Linked DNA regions of Saccharomyces cerevisiae S288C. The gene in region 2 interacts genetically with the main gene of each other region. Each region holds a gene or a part of one and is shown on either strand. Other genes may lie near its edges.

Region 1 (5,082 bases), on a different chromosome or scaffold from region 2:
TGACGAAGCAAAAGGAAGAATAGTCACACTTGCAGTGTAATTAGTACAAACAACACAACTAACTCAATACAGCACCTTCCTTGCCATGTTTAGATCCGTTTGCCGCATTTCTTCCCGCGTGGCACCTTCTGCGTACCGCACTATAATGGGCCGTTCCGTTATGTCCAACACCATACTCGCACAAAGATTTTATTCTGCAAACTTGAGCAAAGATCAGGTTTCTCAAAGGGTCATTGATGTTATCAAGGCGTTTGATAAGAACTCTCCCAACATTGCCAACAAGCAAATCTCCAGCGATACCCAATTTCACAAGGATTTGGGGTTGGACTCCTTGGACACTGTCGAGCTGCTCGTAGCTATTGAAGAAGAATTTGATATTGAAATCCCTGACAAAGTGGCTGATGAGTTGAGAAGTGTTGGTGAAACGGTCGATTATATCGCTTCCAATCCCGACGCAAACTAAGTGTCCGTCCCCGCTCTATTATATTGTATCGTGTCACCCCCATGTCATATTATATTCGTATGTATATAAATAGATCGATTGACCCGTATATATATATATCTATATAACCAGCCCTGTTAATACTATACTTTACTCTCTCCTCCCTTTTTCTCGTTGTTTGTTATTTTGGCCCCGAATTATTATATATTAAGGTACTGTTGAAAAATAAAACATGTATAACCTTTTGAATGAAAATAGCAAGAAGTCGGAAGAAATCTAGCACCACATAGCCATCATTATGGATAAGAATTCAGTTAACAAAGATAGTGAAGAAAAAGACGAAAGACACAAGATTGAGGTTGTAGACGATACAAATCCTGACTTCATCACTGCAGATTCGGAACTGACACAAGATCTGCCTGATGATGTAGAGGTTATTGACTTGGTCCATCTAAAAATCAAATCGTTAGAAGATTTGAACCTTTATAGGTTCAAGAATTTGAAACAATTATGTCTCAGACAGAACCTGATCGAAAGCATAAGCGAAGTGGAAGTTTTACCCCATGACAAGATTGTTGACCTTGATTTTTACGATAACAAAATTAAACATATCTCCTCTAATGTTAATAAGCTCACCAAATTAACGTCTCTAGACCTGTCGTTTAACAAGATCAAGCACATCAAAAATCTAGAAAATTTGACTGATCTGGAGAATTTATACTTCGTGCAGAACAGCATTTCCAAAATTGAAAATCTGTCCACTTTGAAATCACTGAAAAACTTAGAATTAGGTGGTAATAAGGTTCATTCTATTGAACCCGATTCCTTCGAAGGTCTGTCAAACTTGGAAGAAATTTGGTTGGGTAAAAATTCCATACCAAGACTTATTAACTTACATCCTTTAAAGAATTTGAAGATATTGTCCATCCAATCTAATAAATTAAAAAAAATTGAAAATCTAGAAGAGTTGACCAATCTTGAAGAGCTCTATCTGTCACATAATTTCATCACCAAGATTGAAGGTCTAGAGAAAAACCTAAAACTAACTACTTTGGACGTGACCTCCAACAAAATTACCTCCCTGGAAAACTTGAACCACCTGTCAAATTTAACTGACATATGGGCCTCCTTTAACAAGATAGATCAATCCTTTGAGAGCTTGGGTGAAAACCTGTCCGCCCTATCACGCTTGGAGACCATTTATCTGGAGGGAAACCCTATTCAACTGGAAAATAAGACTTCGTATAGAAGAAAACTGACTATGAACTTACCTCCATCCCTACAGAAGATTGATGCGACATATATAAGAGGCTGATCTTGATCAAGAAATGATTTTTTTTTTATATACACACACAAACATATATATATATATATATATATAATGTAGGATTTTGATCCTTTTAAAAAAAACTGAATAATCCATCTAGTTAAAGTTCGCCCTTAAAAACCTCGAGCATGAAAAAAAGAAGAGCTGCTGAACTACATAAAGAAAAACATATGCAATAGCTAAGGGCACGTCCTTCTGTCTCGCAATATGAAAATACAACTTGTAAGATGGCATTGTTCTCGCAATGCTCTTTGGAATCGTGCTTTCTACTCTACGAGAAAGGCCACTAAGAACGCTTCGTCGGCGACTCCAGCTACTATGACATCCATGGTATCTCAGAGGCAAGATCTTTTCATGACAGATCCACTATCTCCTGGATCCATGTTCTTTCTTCCAAATGGTGCTAAGATTTTCAACAAATTGATAGAGTTTATGAAGTTACAACAAAAGTTCAAATTTGGTTTTAATGAAGTTGTGACGCCTTTGATTTACAAAAAGACTCTTTGGGAAAAGTCTGGTCACTGGGAAAATTATGCTGATGACATGTTTAAGGTGGAAACTACGGATGAAGAAAAGGAGGAATACGGTTTAAAACCGATGAATTGCCCAGGCCATTGTCTGATCTTCGGTAAAAAGGATAGATCGTATAACGAACTTCCCCTACGCTTCTCTGATTTTTCACCACTACATAGAAATGAAGCTTCTGGTGCACTGTCGGGATTGACTAGACTAAGGAAGTTCCATCAAGACGATGGTCATATCTTTTGCACTCCTTCCCAAGTGAAATCAGAAATTTTCAACTCTTTAAAATTAATCGACATAGTTTACAACAAAATTTTCCCCTTTGTTAAAGGAGGTTCTGGAGCAGAGAGCAATTATTTTATAAACTTTTCTACAAGACCGGATCACTTCATTGGAGACCTCAAAGTTTGGAATCATGCTGAGCAAGTACTCAAGGAAATCTTGGAAGAATCAGGCAAACCGTGGAAACTGAACCCTGGTGATGGTGCGTTCTATGGTCCAAAGTTGGATATAATGGTTACGGACCATTTACGCAAAACTCATCAAGTCGCTACTATTCAGTTGGACTTTCAGCTACCTGAGAGGTTCGATTTGAAATTCAAGGATCAAGACAACTCGTACAAGAGGCCAATTATGATTCATAGAGCTACTTTTGGTTCTATCGAAAGATTTATGGCTTTACTGATAGATTCTAATGAGGGCCGTTGGCCGTTTTGGTTGAATCCTTACCAAGCTGTAATTATTCCCGTCAATACGAAAAATGTGCAACAGCTAGACATGTGCACTGCCTTGCAGAAAAAACTACGTAATGAACTGGAAGCCGACGACATGGAACCAGTTCCTTTAAATGATTGGCATTTCAATGTTGATCTCGACATAAGAAACGAACCCGTAGGGTATAGGATCAAGTCGGCCATTTTGAAAAACTATTCCTATTTAATTATCGTGGGTGATGAGGAAGTACAGTTACAGAAATACAACATTCGAGAACGTGATAATAGAAAGAGTTTCGAGAAACTTACAATGTCTCAAATTTGGGAAAAATTTATTGAGCTGGAAAAAAACTACAAGTAACTTAAAATATATGACAAACTTGCCCTGTAAATAAAAGGATACGATTTGATGTATAGCTGGATTCATACAGAGACTAGACTCATCCGCCCCACAGATGCATTAATTCATGTATATTTCACATATTATACCATATGTAGTCATTAAACTAAGATAATATTACTGTATTTACATGTATCATCCTTTATACTTTTATACTTTTTACGTTCGGGAGATTTTCAGGAGATTTTAAGGTTTGGATTCCTCATTCAATGGTTCTTTTTTCACATCTGATTGCTCTGCTTTTTTCGCAGCATTTTCCTTTGCGCTTGAAACATTTGGCGCTGATTCTATTGTGTTGACCTTTACTTTGTCTTGAGGTTCCTCATCATCAGATGTTTCCTTTAGTTGTTCTGCATAATGCTCGGGGTATTTTCTGAAACAGTCTTGCATATGTTGAAACTTTTCAACACAGTCGATACCTTTTGGTTCAGCTTCAGAATAGACGAAGCAAGAAAATGCAGATTTGAACTCTTCACCACAGGGTCCATGGGCCATACCTCCCAAGCAAGGACAGTCCCAATTTATCTCACCAGTGTCTGGGTTATAAGCACCTTCGTGTTGAACCTCTTCTTCAGTAGGACCCATTTGCTTTTCCTCTTGTTTTCTTAGTTCTTCTTTCTCTTCATCGCTAGATTCAGATTGCTTAGCTGAATTTTCCGAGTCACTTACAGTTTTTTTTGAGGATTCTTCTTCTCCATTATTATCTTCAGTAGTTGTCTTGTCATCAGATTGTCCCTGTTGCGATTTTTCATCATCTGAATGTTCTGGATCTTTTTTTTCAGAAGATCCAGCATTGTTGTCTAGTGTTTTGTCACTAGTATTTTCTTCCGAGTTCTCAGAACTTATGTTTTCATCCTTTTGATTGTTAGCGGTGGCATTGTCTTCATTGGATTGCTCATCATCTTTGGTTGATACCTTTGATTCATCAGTATCTTTATCTTCGGAAGACTTGTTGTCTTCTTCTGCTAGAACAACCAATTCACCATCTTCAGCTACTTTTGAAGCACCAATTTTATCACCCCCTAATTGAGGGCCAGCTTCAGTTTCATCGTTTTTGCTGTCGTTGTCATCTCCATTTTCATCGCTTTTGCTGTTGTTGTCATCTTCATTTTCTGGTGATTGCTCACCACCACTGGAAAGCTCTTCCTCTGCGGTTTTATCGGATTCTACCTTCCTTGAGGCGAAAAGAGGCTTCCTATTAGGAGCAATAAAATATAAAGCACCAGCCATAGAAAGAATCCCCATTATAAAGCCCGCTGTTTTTTCCTGATTGGAGTTCCTACCGAACTGAGGGGAGGACGCCATGAGACGTCTTGTTTGGTGTCGGCATAACCCCCTTGCCACTTGAATTGACGGCCTGTTTCTGCACGCATTCCTGACGACTAAGTTGCGAAGCATTTTACTGATAATATACACTCTTTGGATCGAGCCTACTTCCAGTTGGTAATTGGTGTTCCACAATTTCAGCATTATATGTTTTTAAACCAAAATTCGGCTCCTTTTCCCTTTTTTTCTTATTGGGTGGCGTGCCGTACAGAACGATTGGCTTGGTGTGAAATCAAGAGCAAGCACAATAGATATCAACATGAACAATATACAAAAGTCTCTGGCACAGTTTGACTGCGTTAGACCAGGCTAGGGCATTTCTGAAGCTTTACGTATCACTAGAGAAGTTATT
Region 2 (5,413 bases):
ATTCATATCTGTACTTCCCGCTGCATCGCAATCATCATTATCATGTTGACTAACTTTGCGGATCCAATCGGATATAGATGTTTTGATAGATGAAACGTTGGACTTTTCTTCGTGTTCATTGTCGGAGTGTGTTAACTCACCATACGATTTTTTTTTTCTGTTTCCAGCATTACCATTACTCTCTTGCGTAGCAAGGACTTCACTGTTCCAGTAATAGTATTTTTCCTGGTCAAACTGAGAAACTTTGCTAGAGTAAAAACTCAGGGAATATTCTTGTATTATACCCAGTTGGATGAATTCGTTACCTATCCTATCGATATTAAATAAGGACAGGTTTAGTCTGGGTTCAAGTTTTTTCAATTCTTTGATCAATGACCTGCCTTGGAAACTTTGATTTGACAATCCTGGAACGGAAAAGACACTTTTCTCCAGGATGACTTTTCCCTTCAAGGTTTGCAAAAATGACATAAATTGGTCGCAATCCTCAAATTTTAACCTCTCGTCTAAAGTGTAAGGAAACTCGCATACGAAGTTCAACCTGGTTAACGGTGCACTATCCTTTCCATTATCAAAAACAGAGGAAGAATTTTCCACTGGCGTATTGGCTTTTTTCAATTTATATATAGACTGAACTCTTTTCTCACATCCAATTAGTGCCTCTTTAGCTGCGACTAAATCCTTAATGTAAGCTGAATAACGAGATGACAAATCGTTTTCTGCCTCACGAAGGAAGCTCTCATTAAGATCTCTTAGTTCTTGCAATGGAATTTTACAATCTCTTTCAACTTGCTCTGTTGATATTATATTAAACTGTTTGCTCATCACTTCCAGCAGCCTGCTATTCATTGAATTGGTTGCTTCCATTTTTTGTAAATTGTTCAATGTTGGTTTCCAAAATTTGTTGACAAAATCATTGTAAAATTTGATGTCTTTAATCAGCAAATCATTTTCTCTCTTCATATGTTTTATGAATAATTTGATACCTGTTGTATAGTCTTTGGTCCAATATGTGTTCCTTAGTGAAATTTTAACTGAGTCGCAATCAATGGAGAGTTGCCTCGAATTCTGTAATTCATCACCAATAATATCTTCTTCGTTATGCTCTTTAACAGACATAACTAGAGACCGAAAGAAAATGCTCTCTTTCTCTTGCCTTTGTCTATGTAATGACAATACTTAATCTACTGGGCCTGACTGGTTTTTTGTTTACTAGTTGCTCTAAAAAATGCAAACGTCAATAAAAAAGAAAAATATGGAAAAGAAAATATACTTTCCCGTATTAACTTGGGTAAAATATAGTAGTATTGTATTGGTGATTTTTCTTTCCTGTGCAAAATAGTTGGCAGAGCATTACACATATTTCTTATTTAGAATATTCAAATAAAGAAAAACTAACTACATGTTAAAAAAAAAGGCAATCCTAAACAGCCAATCTATCAAAGTCAGGTTCTATCTCATAACCGAATACACGGGCTAGAGAGTAGATGTACTTCCTTACCGAGTTGATGACTACACGAGCTAACCCAACAGCCCTTTTACGAAATTTTGGCTGGTTGTTCGTTGTGATGTCATCATTTTTCTTAGCCATATGTTGCTCACTAGTCGTTGGTAGCACATAATCACCAGCTGACAGAGAAACAAATAAGGCAAATGGTATGAACCAAACGCATATACCAAAAAATGAGGCTACTTCAGCGAAACTAGCACGTCTGCGTGGTATATAATTTGGATCAAATTTGAACTGTGGGGGAACTTCCGTATCATTAAAATATTTGAACCAGAAGTAGTGATTCAAGACCACACATACGCAGCTTAATAGGAAAGTTGGGCTGGTTAACGAAATAAATGGGAAACTTTTTAAGTTTTGGTAATATACTATGTAACATGCAATGGAAAAAAGTGTAAGTTTGAACGGGAAACCGTCTAGTAACAGTAGCAGAATTAATATTAATATTATACCATAAATAGCCCTTGTGAGAAACCGTCTTGTGGGTTCTGTGTGTTCTTCAACAAGTTCACTAATGTAGTATAAACCCGATGCAATTGAAAGTGTTAAAAAAAGAAACCCTGAAACGGTTCCTGCATAAGAAATCAATTCTAACAGCATGGTTTTATTCTAACAATTTCTTTTCTCCCTTTTGCTCTTTTTCTCACTTGTCAACTATATGTTTTTAGTTTTAATTTTCACATTGACCATTCAACCTTTAAAAAATCATAAAGTTATAAATGATAGAGAAATAAGAACAAAGGGAAAAAAAATAATACCGGTATAATGCCACCTGCCAGAATTGAACTAGCGACCTTTGCATTACAAGTGCAACGCTCTACCACTAAGCTAAGGAGGCTAAAAATACAACTATGTTGTATCTCAAAATAAGATACGTCAGTATGACAATACGTCATCCCAAACGTTCATAAAACACACATAACAAACGAATAGAATGAGTAACATAACTGTTGGAATGCGAGAATGAGATATTTGTGAATTTTGAGATAATTTGTGGGAATCCATTGTTCACAAAGACAATAATATTAGGTATATAGAATATGCTAGAAGTTCTCCTAGAGGATATAGGAATCCTCAAAATGGAATCGATATTTCTACATGATAATATTAGGATTATTCCTCATTCCGTTTTATATGTTTCATTATCCCATTACATTATCAATCCTTGCACTTCAGCGTCCATTAAGTTCGATGACTGTGTCCCAATCCTATGTCATCTTCTTACACCGCATGTAATAATATAATAGTAATATGACTACTATAAATAGATGACATTTTAGAGTTTCATGTCTTCATAAATGTTTGGCAGGAAGTTTGAAAAGATGGAACGTGCTGCTGCTGATGTAAGGGTCTGAATAAAACCGGATGTCTTGGCAATCCTAATGTCGCTAGGATAGTTGCTTGTCTTTCCAACAAAAGATATAATTCACAAATATTTCTCTGTGCTCCGCATATATTTGGCTTGATGTTTTAAATAGTTTGTGAGTAGTAATTCAATACAAATACTATCAAGCTTTAAGATTCATTATTTCACCAAAATAATCAGTTTTTGTTTTATATGAGGTTGAGTGTCTCAGCTAACTTATGATAAGCTATCTTTAACATGACAAACGGGATGTGATATTTGTTGTCTTGGCTCCAGATCAGCAGTTGTACTAATCTTGCTTACACTGAGCGTGTTCTATGCATTATCTTTAACACTCTTGTACGTCTTGTTTACCATACTTTGCCATATCCTTGTTCTTAAGAAAGGAATTTTGATCTAACATCTCTGAAATCGTGGCACCGTCTAGTAAAATATTAGACACTACTAACGTTACTAAGGAATAAGGTACAACAATTAAAGTCGCTAGTTCGTGAGATTAAAATCTGTTACATATTCTTAGATTGAGAGTTAACGCTGCATATTTCTCTTTGGTGATGAATTAGTCATAAATTGCATTTGCGTCACTCATTATTGTGCTTCTGTGTGAGAGTATTTTAGGAATTTATATATATATATATATATATATATATATATATATAGTATACTGGCTCCCGAGCCAGATGAGGGGGTATGAGGTTTCGACGCTTAAGGTATTATCTGAATCACAGTCGCATACACTAGTTGACCCTCAGTACAGAGATTCCCACGATTAACGGGCTGAACGGGTCCTGACTAATGTAGTTTTGAGTTCACCTGTTGGTGCAGTATTGTTATCGGCACTGGCACTGGTACTGGCACGGGTGTTTGGAAAAACTCTGTAGCATTCAATGGAGAGATTACTACATGAGTGGCGATCCAACGCGAGACATAATCTGTATTAGCTTCATAACCATACTCTGTCAGTAAGGAGCCATAGTCGACATCTGTAACATTCCTAGTAGTGCCAACTGTACCCGGCATGATATTATCTCTGACATCCCCAAAATACACAGCTGTACCATTTATTAAGTGGTAGATTGAGGGAGAGTCTATTCCACCAAGATAGAATCCGTTTCTTTCGAGAAAAATGACTTCATTAAAATTAAGTCCTGCTGGAATGTTAGTGAAGAATCTCAAAGGATTAGTAAGATCAACATCAGGGAGGGAACTATTGTTGATCGAGGTAGCAGCTAGGTTGAAGAATGTAGCAATAAATGCAACGAGGGTTATCCAGTGCATTTCCATTGGGCACGTTAAATAAGTTGAATATATAATAGTAATTTTAGAGGTTTGATGCAAGTTTGGTAGGAGATTTTATGCCTATAATATATATATTCGACCTCAATGTTCAGATAGTAGTTTTACTGCTTGAATATAGTGTGCGCCTGTACGTTTCGATTGGTTGAATTAAACATGTTCTATATTATAGCAAATTTGAAACTCCGCTGCATGTTTGATGAACGAATTGTGCCCGTTATATATATATATATTAAATCTTACTATTTAATTCCTGGGGTCTTATTTTTTACCTGCATTTAACATTTGAGCAACCATCGGGTCGCATATTCACTTTATGACCGAGGCGACCTCAATGCAACCGCAGGCGAAGATGTACGGTCAGAACCTTTCAGAATGTTATTAGGGCATTTTGTGTGGACAGTGACAAACCAGCTTCTCTAGGTACCCAATAGCGTTTTTACTGGGTATCCTGTTCTTTTTCGGGTAGTCCTTATTCTAGATCTTATTCCAAAAGCTTTCAAGACAAATCAATAAAAGAGCCTATTTGAATGTGCAATACCTTCACACCAGTTTTAGCGTGCCAAAAATCCTTCGTTCATTGAGAACTGAAGCCAGTTTAATTGCAATGGCCCTAATATAAATCTAAGGCCAACAAATACTTGGTCACAGAATGCAAGATATGTAACGATTTTTATAACAGTTTAACAGGAGAGGATAAGGACGAACATAAACGGTAGCACAGCCGTTAAGGGGATATCCTTTCAATTTCTACCCAGCACAAACTTTACGTGTTCTCAATCCACGTCTGCAGTAGAAACTGTCGCACATATAGTAACATAAATTTATATCGTAGTATATTGGAAGAAAGTGGGCGTGGGTGCGAGCGTATACTTTGGAATTTTGACATCGCATTTAATATTGTACCTAAACTCATTTCTACCACCATATGGTCACACTCTCAGATTCATATCAACTTCCTACATTATGCTACTAATCAATATAAAACGCAGGGATATAAACTCTGCACACTTCAATCTGTTGTGATAAAAATAAACTACCATATAGTGACTAGTAGTCATGTTACTACTATATTATTACACGCGGTGTAAGAAGATGACATAGGATTGGGACACAGTCGTCGAAATTAATGGAAGCTGAAATGCAACGATTGATAATGTAATAGGATGATGAATGACAGCATATAAAAGGAAAGAAGGTAAATTAATATTCATGATGTAGAATGACCGATTCCATTTTGTGGA
Region 3 (4,212 bases), on a different chromosome or scaffold from region 2:
CGGCAATAGCAATTTGGGGAGTTGATAGAATTGTACGTATCACCAGAATTGCACTCTTAGGATTTCCTAAAGCAGATCTACAACTGGTTGGATCTGATTTGGTCCGTGTAACGGTTAAAAAACCAAAGAAGTTTTGGAAGGCAAAACCAGGCCAATACGTTTTCGTTTCCTTCTTGCGTCCATTGTGCTTCTGGCAGTCGCATCCATTTACAGTGATGGATTCTTGCGTAAACGATAGAGAATTGGTCATCGTTCTGAAAGCAAAGAAAGGTGTGACAAAACTGGTAAGAAACTTTGTTGAACGTAAAGGCGGCAAGGCATCCATGAGATTAGCTATCGAAGGCCCTTATGGCTCCAAGTCCACCGCCCATCGCTTTGATAATGTATTATTGTTGGCAGGTGGCTCAGGGCTTCCCGGTCCAATTTCTCATGCCCTTGAATTAGGAAAGACAACAGCTGCAAGCGGTAAAAACTTTGTACAGTTAGTCATAGCAGTAAGAGGACTAGACATGCTCAACGCGTGTAAGAAAGAACTAATGGCATTAAAGGGCTTGAATGTTCAAGTTCACATTTATAATTCTAAGCAAGAGCTAGCTTCGGCTGAAAAAATTTCCTCAAATGAAGTCAAAAACGGTGAAACGACAGCAGAGAAGGCCCCATCTAGTCTAAGCAATTCAGAAAAAGCTCCTTCTGAAAGTGAAAATACAGAACTACCTCTTTCCCTGAATGACACGTCTATCTCCGATTTAGAATTTGCCACTTTCCATGTTGGAAGGCCAAATGTTGAAGAAATACTAAATGAATCTGTTAACCATTCTGGTTCACTTGCCGTCGTATGTTGCGGACCACCTATTTTCGTCGACACCGCTAGAAATCAAACTGCCAAAGCTGTTATCAGAAACCCATCAAGAATGATTGAATACTTGGAGGAATACCAAGCCTGGTGAACAATTTTTCATATTTAAGTAAACACTCAATGTATAATATCCTCTAACTGTTGTAATTTCATTAACGTAGATGGTTTGCGCCTTTTTTAGGGGACTCTTGTTGATTGATTCTAACTACTGAGGCTTAAGTTGTTTCAAATAACACTTTTTCAGAAAAATAATCGTATTAAAAAGCAGAAAAATCATACGTAAGATGACAGAAGCTTCATATTTAGTAACTCTGAATTGTATAACACACCAATTGCCGATAGAATATGAACCAATCGATCTTCAGCGTTCATGTACTTAATTTAACTACCTGTATTTTCTTATAAAGATAAAATTGGTGTATAATGTAAGGACCAAGAGAAAAAGGAATCCCGCATCCCAAGCAATTTCTAGTGGACTATTTCTTCAAAAAATAACTCAATAAACACCTATATAATGTTCGGAGGTTATACTTTAGTGTTTTAGAATGCAGTACCAAAAGTAATATATTGAATTAATAACTATATGATGTGTAGCTAAGAATTAAATAGTAAACGTCTTCTGAAACCTTTTAAGAGGTAATTATTGGTATTCCAAATTCATATGTGGAGGTAAGGGAGACACAAAATTATCTGGAATGACAGCGTGCTGACACCTATAAGGTTCCGTAACTTCAAATGCCTTCATTACTCAACATAGGAAAAGTGAAAGTGTGTGCCTCTAAAATATACGGAACATCGTCGAACTAAAAAAATCCATTAAGCAAAGTCAGAAACAGCATGCACTACAAGACATTTGGTTCATCATGAAGAATGCTCAATTGAACCATCAATCACTTTCTCTTGTTCGATGTTAGCATTATCCTCACTATCAGTTGAATCCTCAATGCTTTCGGTTTCAGTCCTCGCATCTTCCTGAACTTCAAGATCTAAAAGAGGCTCACTCTCTTCCAGACTGGTCTCCAAGCGGTCCACGGTATCACGTAATGCCTTCACACAAGCCTTCAAAACAGATCTTGTGCTTGACCCATTTTCCTTAGCTTGAGATAGGACTGTGATATAAGAAGCATATGTGGTAGCGAGAAATAGTATGAATAAAACGGCTTCTGGTAAAATATCTATTTTAGCAATCTTACAAGAACCTGAATAATCAAAGTTTATACCCCGTGGCATACTTGAGCAGGACATAGAACCAAATTTTGAAGCTAGAGTTACGAAAGCGGTAAACCACAGGACGGTCTGAACAATTTCCATCACGAATATTAACAGAACAGGCAAAAATCTCACAATCCCAAAATAAACTGAAGATATGATTGAAACAGCTAAGCTCAATCTAAGGATTCGATCCACTTTATAGTTTGTGATTATGGCAAAACTAGCTAACAACAAGTTAGTTACAGATAAGCCAAGTTGGAAATATCTTAGTACGTGGAAAGTAACGGATGTTGTTGTTAACTTTAACATATATGTATTGAGTTATTATTATAGATCTTGACTTGGTAACAAAATATCAAGCTGTAAGCACCGCCTGTATTCTCCTATTTATGGTTGATTATATTTTACTTCTGTTGAACCAAGAAAAAAATAGCAACTCGAAAAGTCGCTTATTCATTCACTTTTTTAATTTTTTTACATATCGCATACGTAATTGGAAACACGCAATTTTAACTTTGGGCAAATACATAAATCATTTTGAGAAGTTGGTTTTTAGTCTCCGAGAGATTATAAACCAACATCCTTAAAAGATAGTATTCATTTCTCACCTGCCAATGCAAGAGCAGATATTATTCAGCAAGCAGTACAGCAAATCGGAAGCGAATTCCAATGACAATTTGCAGAATAAGATTAGAATAATATATTGAGATTAAAGAAAAGGTTATGCGAATTGCCTAACGTCTTTAACTTTGAAGCGGCCAAACTCTAAAAAACCTTGGTTAAAATACAAGCTTTGGCGTCCATGCAAACTGATTACATCATTCAGTATAAAGTGCCATATAAAAGAGGCACACACTTTTCCACAACTGGTTTGAATATAATAGAAGAATAAATCAGAAGGAAACTTTAAATATTAGTAATATTTATTTATGGCCGCTAAAAGATTAGTCCGGATATATCACTATAGAAATGGTAAAGATAATACACTATCATTTCCAAATGTAAAATTTGTTGATAGAACGCCATAAAAAAGAGGCTGACTTTTTGTCGTCCAAGTTCTTCGAAAAAATATACGTCAATGGCACCCGATATATAGCTGGATTTGGACCAGTATATGTCTAAGGAAATCTAACACCTTTTTTTCCTGAGCCAAATAAGCGGTGGAATTGAAACAGCTACCAAAATCATACCAAATCCAACCGCAATTGAAAGCCCCAATCTTGTGCCATAAAGAGCTGCTAATACAATCGGTGCCACCAGTTTACCAATCCCAGAGATTGCTCCAATTGAAGGCATCAACTGGACCTTGAGTTTGGGGTCGATGTACATGGAAAAAAGGGCTGGAATGCTCGAAGCCAAAAAGTTGTACCCTAACAATGTAATCGACATCCCAGCTGAAAAAAATATACCAGAATTTGTGGGTGGCATTGATTTATGCTTCAAGGCTTCGGATGCTCCAATCATAAAAGCTTGTCCCAGCAATGAAACAAACAATGCAAAGATGGACAGAAAAACTTGACCGCTGTACAGCGAATCTTTTTTCTTTACCTCAACGGTCTCACTTCCAGTTGTATCTGACTCTTCTAATCCGCCATCTTTGGCTCTGCCGCAGGAGCACCCGACGTTTATTAACTTTGGAGCGAAATAGCTTCCAGTCACACCAAGTATAGATGCGACCATAAACGCTATGCCTTGAAACTTGGTGTCCCAGTTAACGTGGAGCGTCAGGAATAGTGGCATAAAATAAACTACTTCGCTCATAATAAATGACGATAGGAACATGCTCCATAGTAAAATCAAGCAGGAGATGAGTTTTTTTCTTTCGACTCTAAAAAATTGTTTCAGAGCACTGAAAAGGCTATTTTCCGAATTTGTAACTTTAACCTCAGGATTTTCCAGAACGACAACTAATAAAAGGCATACTGCAAGAATTATGAAACTGGAGGCAAATGTCGGTGCATTGTAAGAGGCAATGCGATACCCTTTAATTTTAAAATCGCAATATCCAAAAAATATGACAATTAATTGTGCCAACGCCATGAAGATACCAGCCGCTGCTCGATAAATTGATAGAAGCTTGAAAACGATACCCCTATCTTGTGCAATTGACATGATGTAACTGAACACTATAGCACCAGAAGCAG

The links.
Region 1: mutations in SVP26 (region 2) and MST1 impair growth when combined (synthetic growth defect), as found in Saccharomyces cerevisiae (one large-scale study listed by BioGRID).
Region 3: mutations in SVP26 (region 2) and YNR061C together harm fitness more than expected from each alone (negative genetic interaction), as found in Saccharomyces cerevisiae (one large-scale study listed by BioGRID).

Annotation. Positions count from the first base shown.
Region 1 is NC_001143.9:75,541-80,622, reverse strand, and holds MST1 (threonine--tRNA ligase MST1), read left to right. Parts: upstream 1-1,976; coding exon 1,977-3,365; downstream 3,366-5,082. Other genes in the region: ACP1 (acyl carrier protein), read left to right, coding at 86-463; type 1 protein phosphatase-activating protein SDS22, read left to right, coding at 741-1,757; MIA40 (Mia40p), read right to left, coding at 3,591-4,802.
Region 2 is NC_001140.6:463,922-469,334, reverse strand, and holds SVP26 (Svp26p), read right to left. Parts: upstream 2,108-5,413; coding exon 1,421-2,107; downstream 1-1,420. Other genes in the region: RGD3 (Rgd3p), read right to left, coding at 1-1,116; YHR180W (uncharacterized protein), read right to left, coding at 3,666-4,157. UniProt on the Saccharomyces cerevisiae protein: Plays a role in retention of a subset of membrane proteins in the early Golgi compartments. Facilitates endoplasmic reticulum to Golgi transport of mannosyltransferases MNN2 and MNN5.
Region 3 is NC_001146.8:741,164-745,375, forward strand, and holds YNR061C (uncharacterized protein), read right to left. Parts: upstream 2,378-4,212; coding exon 1,718-2,377; downstream 1-1,717. Other genes in the region: FRE4 (ferric-chelate reductase), read left to right, coding at 1-947; PUL3 (Pul3p), read right to left, coding at 3,197-4,180.